Linked DNA regions of Arabidopsis thaliana. The protein of the gene in region 2 interacts with the protein of the main gene of each other region in a pairwise test. Each region holds a gene or a part of one and is shown on either strand. Other genes may lie near its edges. The genes, in order: CKS2 and AT4G14310.

Region 1 (4,076 bases), on a different chromosome or scaffold from region 2:
TTGTTGTTCATTGCTGTATAGGGTTCCTTGCCTCTTAAATCTGCTTCTGGTCTTCACCATTTTTGGTTTTGTTGTTTTCTCCTCAGTGTGAAAAGGAATTCCATGTTGGCTGTTTGAAAGAACGTGACATTGCTGATCTCAAGGTTCTTTGCCTATTTAGCTCTTTCATTCCCTCGGGTGAAAACTCAGTATCTATCTTTCTCATTCTTGTTATGTCTTAACAGGAGCTACCTGAAGAAAAATGGTTCTGTTCCCTCGGGTGCGAAGAGATCAACACTACATTGGGCAATCTGATAGTTCGCGGAGAAGAGAAGCTAAGTAACAATATTCTGAATTTTTTAAGGAAGAAGGAACAACCTAATGAAGAAAACTGTCCAGATTATAAAACCACTCCTGACATAAGATGGAGGGTCCTTAGTGGGAAGTTGACCTCTTCAGATGATACCAAAATATTGCTTGCAAAGGCACTTTCCATTCTTCATGTAAGTCAAGACCACATTTCAAACTCTTCTGTCCTTTCTGCTGTTTGTCCCTTCTAACAATTGTATGCTATAGGAACGGTTTGATCCTATCAGTGAATCTGGGACCAAGGGAGATTTGATACCAGCCATGGTGTATGGGTAAGCAATTTTGTATCTTCAATCAGTCGAGTGGATTATTCTTTGTGCTGATCAACAACTTTTGTGTGTGGAACAGAAGGCAAACAAAGGCCCAAGATTTTAGTGGCATGTACTGCACTATGTTGGCTGTGGAGTAAGATTCTTCTTCTTTTTCACTCTAATTTATTTTCTGTGACGCATGTTTCATCTTTTTAATGTTGTCCTTTTTTTGTTTCTTGTGCAGCGAAGTGATTGTTTCAGTGGGAATCTTTAGGGTTTTTGGGTCAGAACTTGCAGAACTCCCTCTGGTTGCTACCAGCAAAGATTGTCAAGGGCAGGTAAACAGTTTTTATCTGGAACCTTGGATGTTTTTTCTTTACAACAGGTGCCTACTCCTATAGAATGGTTAATAAACGACTCACTCTTACTGTCAATCCCATACATTGATAAATTATACAGTGATACATCTAAGCAGACATGTTTTTGTGTCGAATAGCTTAAGAGCAGAACAATGTGTAGCATCTTAATTGCAGAAGGAATTTTTTTGTGTCAAATTGTACCTGGGGGATGAAATGCTTGTGATTGCTCTTTTTTGAGAGTTTGAGAATTTATGTTTTTTTTTTCCTATTGTAGGGTTACTTCCAATGCCTGTTTGCTTGCATCGAGAGGCTACTTGGGTTCCTAAACGTGAAACATATCGTGCTACCAGCAGCAGATGAAGCCAAATCCATATGGACTGACAAATTTGGTTTCACCAAGATGACCGACGAAGAGGTATATATCTATATCCATATAAACTTATATACACTCCCAATGAATCCCATCTCTGATACACACTGTGTTTGTGTGTTATTAGGTGAAAGAATACAGAAAAGACTACTCGGTGATGATCTTTCATGGAACATCTATGTTGAGAAAGAGTGTACCAGCACCGAGTGCCGTGAGTAAAACTGAGGCCAGTAAGGAGGAGTAAGCTCAAGGTTGTCTTTGTTTTTTGGTTTTTGGAAAGTTGGTGAAACGATTGGATGCTCTTTTTTAATCTAATTTCGGGTAGTAGCCACGTTCTTGTACAGGTTTCTCCCCTAACGTGTCTTTCTTTGTAATGGAAACTAGAGAGAAAGATACACAAAAGGGTTAGAGAATTTGGTTTTGGTAGAGACGAAGTAGAGATAAGAGGGGGAAGTAAATGGGGAAGTCTAAAACATTAGGGCATTCTTTTGGGGGTTTAGTCATGATTATCCGAAGCTAATTTTTTTTTGTATATTAGTGCCCAAAAATGAAATTCAATTTTCTGAAATCTTTTTCTTTTTGTCACTGATGTTTATATATCGAACAAAGGAGGTATACAAAGCCGGCGAGTATACGGACACCTGAACTCTGACTATAAGAGGAAGATACTGATGCCTTTAGAAATGAATCTCTGAACCGGGAATTATACCGGTTTGATTAACGTCGAACCGTAATCAAAATTTTAGGGCTCCACTAAGCGGGAAGGAGCGCCTCTAAGAAATTTGAAACTCAAAAAAATCAAAACACCCGTTGAGAAAATGCCCCTATAAATCCCCATAATTACTTCCTTACCACAATGCCTTTTTAATTCCCTTTCGCTTTCCCTCTTCTCCCCTAAAATTCATTTCGTTTCCGATCGCACTTCTTCTCAAGGTCTGCTTTACTTCCCGATTCTTAGATTAGGGTTCGATTTCTGATTTGTTTAGGTTCTCGTCGTTGTTTAGGGTTTAGATTACTGACAGATTGCTCCATTTCTTTTGTTTAGTAAATTTAATAGACGTTTGTTGGGTGATTTAAGAAGATGGGTCAGATCCAGTACTCCGACAAATATTTCGATGATACTTTCGAATACAGGTGATTCTCAGTTTGATTCTCCTCCCATTTTAATGGAGTTCTCTCTCACGTTTTAGTTTCAGTCTAATCGCGTGGTCTTTTATTTTTCTCTCAGGCACGTTGTACTTCCTCCGGAAGTTGCTAAGCTTTTACCTAAGAATCGTATTCTTTCGGAAGTAAGTTAAAAATTAGGGCTTTCCTCTATTCGCTGTATAACCCTTGAATCATCGTAGGCTAAGAGATTTACATGTTTAAGAAATTAAGTTAGGAAATTGAAGTTTGGACTTTTGAGAGTCGAAGAAATTGAAGTTTCTGCTTAGGAATTTGAAGTTTTGCTTCTCATTAACTTGTTTATTAACTTTAGGTTGTGTAATTGTCAGCAGTGACGAAGATAGTTTAGATATTTTTTTGTGTTATCAGTCAATTCTCAGTTTTCTGATTTTGAAGTTAACAGTTTTCTTGTTTTACAATCTGGTTTTGTAGAGTGAATGGAGAGCCATCGGAGTGCAGCAAAGTCGTGGATGGGTTCATTACGCGATTCATCGTCCTGAGCCACATATCATGCTCTTTAGGAGGCCTCTTAACTACCAGCAGGAGCACCAAGCTCAGATTGCTAAGTAGAAGAATTATGCAAAATTCTCCCTAATCTCTGTTTATGTCTCTCGTAAACGAGGTTTTAAAATACTACTCTGATGTTTTGTTCCTGTAGTTTTTTTTATTGTGTTCATGAATTCTCTTCAGTGGAGAATCATGTGAGTTTGGTAGAACAACTTTTAATGTTATGTTAAGTCTGGTCCTTTGCTAGACTTTGGTTGGATCCACGTTTGAACTTCTTCATGGTTAAGAATGAAGACGTTATTTCTCATGCTTATGTGCTTGTTTCATCATTTCAACCTCTTTTTATTGCTCCTCTTAGAGTCTTAAGTCCATAACTATGAACAACAAACAAGGTATCATTACAATGCCAATCTGAAGGTCTAATCACGATTCTCATGGCGATACTGATTCAAAGAAACTCATATTGTGTCTCAATCACCACATTCACCAAACACCATATATTCCTTACTGTACTACTATTAGTGTATTGAAACCAGGAGATTCAGAGCCATTTTTATAAATTAACTAGATATGTATCTTATACCTAGTGTGAAGCACTGATTGTTGGAATTAAATGAAATTTCGAGAAAATGAACGAGTTCGTAGTTTGATGGTAAATAACAAGGTCTTTGGTCAAAGCAACCAAACAAGTTGTTGAATTTAATTAGAACCAAACCAATCCACCCAATTTCAATTCATTTTGGTAACTAACCGGTTTATAATCATTCATACCCAATCGGCGTCTTCTAAAGAATTTCAAAACTCTAAAAAGTTAATCAAACACCCCTCTATTTCCTCATAATTACATATCTACCCCAAACCACTTTATTCTCCTTTCACTATCTTCCCCAAATTTCAAACGATCAGATTACAGATTCTTCAATTCCTCTTTCCCTTCTCCTCCATTTCCTGATTAAGGCTTCACATCTCTGAGAGAGAAATGGGTCAGATCCAATACTCCGAGAAATACTTCGATGACACTTTCGAATACAGGTAAAGCTCTTCAATCTCGCTTCTTCTTCCTCCAATTTTCACTCT
Region 2 (6,061 bases):
GTTTGACTTGTTATATAACCAAGAATTCAAAAAGCATTCAAGAAGATGATAGTTTGGTTCAAAAGACAAAACCTTTTTGGCAACAGTTGAATTACCCTTCTTCCCTTTGAAAATGGTATCCATCAATTTGTGGAAAAAGTGACCAAATGGTCCTCCATAAGCAAAGCCATACAACTGCACAAAAGAGATCATCACATTTTCTCCAGACTAAAAAAGTATATAACTGCAAACATATATAAGACAAATAAGGAACGAACCATAAGGAGAAGCAATCTCCGGAACTGAATCCGTTTAACTCCAGAGATCTTCTGAGCTATAGCATCACTACATCCAGCTAAAACCCCTGCAGTGATCGCCTGAAAAAATATCATTACGACGACATGATCATCGCAAGATTCTCATAAACTGAGACTTCTTTGATCGAAATTAACAAACCTTGGTTCGTAAAGGATGAGCTTGAAGCTGAATCAGATACTTTCGCCATGCGTCTTTAGCAAGATCCGACATGGCTCGAAGATTCAATAGCAAGATTTTGACAAGACTAAAAGATCCAGATTTGATTTAAGAGAAGTTAACCATGTTTCGTATTAACAAAAAAAAATTAGATTATGGGTAACGAATGGATTTACTTTAGGCCAAATTAAGAAATATCTAAATTAGGAATATATTCGTTAGTCAAATATGCTTTGTCATATCTTTTTCTTCGGACCATTTTATAACACAGAAATCATCTGAGTAATGAGAAAGAAACCTAGGAAATTGATCAAAACACCACATGTATGTACAGAGTAAAGTCAAATAAGCAAATAGCACGAAAGAGAATCCAGAAAAGCATCATAGTTGGTAACAAAGAGCAATAGTATGAACACAACACAAGAGAAAGCAGCACAAGCTGTGCTAACACTTGCTAAATATAGGTCTCGTGGGATCACCATCTTTAGATTGATTTACTCACCTGAAAGAAACGAAATTCAACTATAAACATCAGCCACAAGTTTGTATTCAAGACTTCTTTCTTCAACAATTTTATTGCTTTACCTATAAGAGGTATCTCCATAAAGCCGGGCGGTCTCTTGAGATGAGGAGTACACGACAACCTGAGTAGTCAAATGACGGGCAATACATATCGTTTGGACCGATGATCTCTCTTACTGTTTGAACGCTTCCATAGTCACTTGTCAATGGCTGTTGTTGCAAGGTCTCTTCTTTTGCAGTATCAAACACAAATAGTCCCATACCAGAAGTAGCCATGACAAAATTTGAATTTCCCCAGACTTGGGTTATTGCAGAGTGGTGCGGGTGAGAGTTTGAGTCAGGCAGACTGTATGTGCTCACGAGACGCTGTTTCCTTATGGAGAATTGCTGCACCTGAGAAGAAGAAGCCATTTGTTTCTTGACAGTTGATTTCTGATTGGTACATCCTAGAAACACTGAATCTCCTCGAGATGATACACATTGAGCATTAACACCGAGTTTGGGGATTTTAGCACCAATGCCAGATGGGTTACGAAAATCTAAGATGTTGATTGAATCACTAGTGCAGAATACTCCGTCGTTTCCTTCAGCATCCAAGGAACTTACTCTGCATTCCATGTGAAGAGAACATTATAAGTGAATGAGAGAGAAAGAGTAAAGTATCCACATTGTTTAGCTTCCACATATTCAATTTATGAGGCCAAGCGAGGAGATAGTAAGAGGCTAAATGGTAAAATAAAGTTTTTTTACCTTTGACGAACACCACCCCCAACTTCAGCATCTGTGTTGTTGATATGAAAAGCTGAGATTTTTCGCCCTGAAGAGGAAATGGTGTGCTGTGCTTCAGGGTGAAGGGAATTGACATCCCAAACAGAAATTGCTTCAGTTTCGGCTATGACAAGTTTTCCTCGATTCCTCCATTGTAAAGGGCTCGAATAATCTAAAGCTGACACAGGATTTTGCACACCCCATTTCATGATTTGTTCCCCATCTCGTATGTCAAAAACCTTTACTATACTTTGAAAACTACCAGTTGATGCTATAAGAGGACCACACGGTCTGTACCACCATTGTTGAGTTTCTGGTACCACTGCACAAGCCGGAGTGTTCCTACCATGTGATGTGTTATTGGGTAGAGGAGCAAGAGCTGTTCTTGAAACTCTTGAAGATCCGTCCTCGATGTGGAGTGCCTTAATGTCTTTCGTGTAGAAATCCCATGAACAAAAGCCAGATTCTAAGGTATTCCCAGCAGAAGCAGCTACGACATATCTGCCTGAGCAGCCATCAGCACCCGGTGCACGAACTACCCAGCAATCTCTCCAAGTGTTTGGTGAGATACCATCTGGAGGACTGTACACAGATTTCACCTGAAAAAGAATTTCAAGTCTTTGATGTAAAAGATAATAATGCATACATAGTGAACAAAGCCAAAAACTCCAGTCACTTCATACAAACGCACCCAGATTGACAGAGAATTACATTCATTAACCATAAACTGTGCATACTATTAGCCCAAAATAAAGCTTTAGTCACTAAGTATTTCTGCAAGTATAAGATGAAAAATCCAATCTAAATCAAAATAAGATATGCTAAACATCTTCTCGTAACTTGAGATATGTGTATGTTGTGGTCAATATGAGATTTTAAAATCAATGTTCCACACTAGCACAGTTCAAGTTAGATCAAACATGATACTAAAAACTTTTCATAAATGAAGAAACGCATAGTACCTCAGAGTTAGCGACATCGTAATAGGAACACGAGCCATCATCATGAGCAAGTATAACTGCCTCGCCCTCTGATACAAACCATCCTCCTGTAGAAGTTTTGGACCCAATGTCATTGAGTTGATACATGCATCCATCATCTATTTCTTCCAGCTCCATCTCCTCTCTATTCTCTTCATCATCAATTTCCTCGAGGGCTTCGTTTGCTCTAAGAATTTCAGTTAAGTTGGAAGTCAGATTGACGTCTTTTGAGACATCATTTTCCTTTGACGGCTCCTCTGTATCCATCTCCTGCACTTCCAGATTTTCCAGCGCATTCTGATCACTCATAAATGTGACTTTTTCCTTGTCAAGTGAGGCCAAGAACTCTAGAGCTATCGCATTCTCCTCAACAGGAGCTGACGGCTTTTCTTCAGCATTCACTGCCTTGTTGGACTCAACAGAATCATGGCCTTTTGAGACATGCGAAGATGTTTTGGACTGAGTTCTGCTCCTTAGCAACCTCTGGTGAGGCAAGAGTCTGTCTTCCAGCTCTTCCTTATTTAATCCTTTCACAGAACTTTTTGCTTTCGTAGTTTTGTTTTTCTCTGGACCATCAATAACATGACTCATAGACTTTTCAATCCCTGTGATTTTCTGATGTATATCAGAGATTATAACCTTAGACGAATCCGGATTGTTCAAATCCAGCATATCCTTTGTCTTCTTGATATCTGATGCAATTTTCTTAACCTTTCCTTCAAGAAAAGCAAGCTTCTCGTGCAGCTTGCTTGGATACTTAGCAGTACTATTGCTGCTTCCTTCATTTCCTCTTATATCCTTTGACATCTCCATTGCCTTCCCAACATTATCCAAAGACTTCCTTCTTAAAGCTACACTAGTCCCTTTCCCAGTCTTTTCAATCTTACTATCAGATTTCAAAGCAACAGTAGATTTCTCTCCAGAACCAACTAAAGCATGTGCCTTTGGATCAGAAATTGAATTTCTCGCCACACTAGAACCTTCAAATTTGCTTGAATTCACTGGACAACTACTTCCTTCATCTGCTTTCTCACAAACACTACTTGGCTCAACCTTAATTTCACTCGTACCCTGTTTGAATCCAGAACTCTTGAGCCCAGACTTCTTATCCTGACCCGATTCACCCTTTTCCCCAATAACCCTAGATTCATTTCTCTTTCTCAAATCCGAGAAAACCCTAATCAAATCAGATGGACTAGAACTCCTACCTCGCAAACCAGATGACGTGGATCGCGTAACCCGACCCTCGCCACTCACGGCGGACTTATCAATGCGCGGTACAGGCCGGAGCACTGGCTTCTGAGTCGATCCAAATGAGCGGTGACTAAGCTTCGGATTCGGATTCTCTTTGCTGGATAATGATTTCTGAAGAGCGGGATTTGAATTTTTGCTTGAGATCGGAAGTGGAGTTACAGACCTCAATGGTTTTTTACCAGATGATGGATTTTCACCGGCGCCGGTGTTTATATCTTTTAGCCGGCGGCGATTCGTTGAAGCTGACATCTGCAAAATCGTAGGGTAAAATGATTTAGGATTTTGAAAAAAAAGTTTGGGGGAAAAATAAAAGCTTTTGATTTTTGAAGAAAAAGCACAAAACGATAAATGGAGGATATCACTACCGCAACTCCACAAGCCGACAAATTTATTAGAGTTTCAATTTCAAAATATTTGGGCGGGATTTCCAAAAAAAAAACTCAAAATTTTTGGAGATCGCGAATGTTCAAAAAGTCGATTGATTAACGAAACGCAGCGTTTAGGTAAATTTATTAAACACGTGATAGCAACAAATGCAGAACGCGACATTTTGAAACACGTGGCAGTGTAGAAATAGCGACACGAATTTTGTTAACTAAAACGCTGCGTTTTTAATAAAATATACAGTAACAGTTGAATAGTTGATTGCGACACGAAACGATGCGTTTAGGGTATGCTGTTTTTAAAACACGTGGCAGCAACAAATAAACCGAAACGCAGCGTTTTGAGGTGGTTATTAACGTGAAAGGTCTCGCCAGTTTTTGTGTTTCATGCATTAGTACACGAAACGTTGTCTTCTACTTCTCGGGGAAACGACACAACCGTAGATTTGATGTCTGAATCTGTGTATATATAACTTCTCCAATTAGAGACACTAACACAGAATTGATCACTACTCCTATCGAAAAGTAGACGAAAATGGCGAATGAGTATGGATTCGGGATGGGTTCGGTTTTGGCGATTGTTGTCGTTGCACTAATGTTACTGTTTGTTCCGTTGATGATGGGACCGGTGACTGCACCATCTCTTCCAATGATCTTGATGTTTCCGGTCGTATTGCTCTTTGTGTTTCTCTATCTCCATTTTACTTCCAAGTGATCAAACATCAAATCTCTTTCTATTATTATCGTGTAATATGCAGTACGTATTTATTTCGATAGTATTGCTCTTACGTTTTTGGTTATACATTTATAAAAACAAAAATTGTATTTGTTCTATTATATACAATATATCAATTGACTAACGCATGCGCAGTTGGTTTGGATCTCTATTGATTTGCAAGTAAATTTTTTGGATTTATCTTTCTTTCTCACTTCGTTTCTTACATTATTAGAGAATTTGACTTACATCGCGATGTATGTTTTACAAGCAAGTAGAATCGATGCCACTTTCCTTAGATATTAGCGTAGTAGACAATGTCAATGATCGAGAAATATACACAAAAGTACCTAACTTTTGTCAGCATGAACAGATTTGAATGATATTACGTAATTGTAGAGAAGAAACTTACCTTAAAATTAACACCTCTAAAAGGTAAGAATGTGTTAGTAGAAAATGGCTATTCATATTGTAAAATTAAAAGGCCGTATAATTAGTACAGAGGAATTCGACTTGGAAACAGAAAATTAGAGATTAAATAAAACACGAATTTTAAATAACGGAAATAAAACTTTAGTGTAAATTATCTATACCCATAATATATATAGTACCAGAATCTAAGTATAATAAAGTAAAAAAAGAAAAACTGAAGTAGCATCCTTGACCGTCACCACATCTTCCGCCGCTGGCTGCCTGGCTCCACCACCACCACTACTACATTCACCGGTTCATTGTCAATACCACCACCAACAGGTCCTTCTCCTCTATCACCACAGCAGCCAGGACCACCACAGCAGACACAAGAGAATATCATCTCATCTACCATTTTGCCCGCACAGCTCTCAATTAAAACTAACACAAAGGCCAAAACACATAGGACTATCATGGTAATATAAAAAGAGTTGTTCATGTTCTCTTTTGTGCAATAAGGAGCCAGGAAACATGTTCTTCTATTTATATAATTTGGTTTTATTGTAACACATTAG

What was found.
Region 1: the proteins of AT4G14310 (region 2) and CKS2 interact in a protein complementation assay, tested with the Arabidopsis thaliana proteins (one study listed by BioGRID).

The regions. Positions count from the first base shown.
Region 1 is NC_003071.7:11,911,446-11,915,521, reverse strand, and holds CKS2 (CDK-subunit 2), read left to right. Parts: upstream 1-2,096; 5' UTR 2,097-2,261; intron 2,262-2,373; 5' UTR 2,374-2,409; coding exon 2,410-2,462; intron 2,463-2,556; coding exon 2,557-2,617; intron 2,618-2,924; coding exon 2,925-3,062; 3' UTR 3,063-3,371; downstream 3,372-4,076. Other genes in the region: AT2G27980 (Acyl-CoA N-acyltransferase with RING/FYVE/PHD-type zinc finger domain-containing protein), read left to right, coding at 87-143, 225-482, 556-620, 697-753, 844-937, 1,233-1,373, 1,456-1,572; CKS1 (cyclin-dependent kinase-subunit 1), read left to right, coding at 3,979-4,031. UniProt on the Arabidopsis thaliana protein: Binds to the catalytic subunit of the cyclin dependent kinases and is essential for their biological function.
Region 2 is NC_003075.7:8,236,099-8,242,159, forward strand, and holds AT4G14310 (Transducin/WD40 repeat-like superfamily protein), read right to left. Parts: upstream 4,227-6,061; coding exon 2,706-4,226; intron 2,471-2,705; coding exon 2,390-2,470; intron 2,343-2,389; coding exon 1,726-2,342; intron 1,583-1,725; coding exon 1,039-1,582; intron 956-1,038; 3' UTR 661-955; downstream 1-660. Other genes in the region: AT4G14305 (Peroxisomal membrane 22 kDa (Mpv17/PMP22) family protein), read right to left, coding at 73-174, 258-356, 436-507; AT4G14315 (uncharacterized protein), read left to right, coding at 4,896-5,075; AT4G14320 (Zinc-binding ribosomal protein family protein), read right to left, coding at 5,743-5,927. UniProt on the Arabidopsis thaliana protein: Might be involved in division plane determination.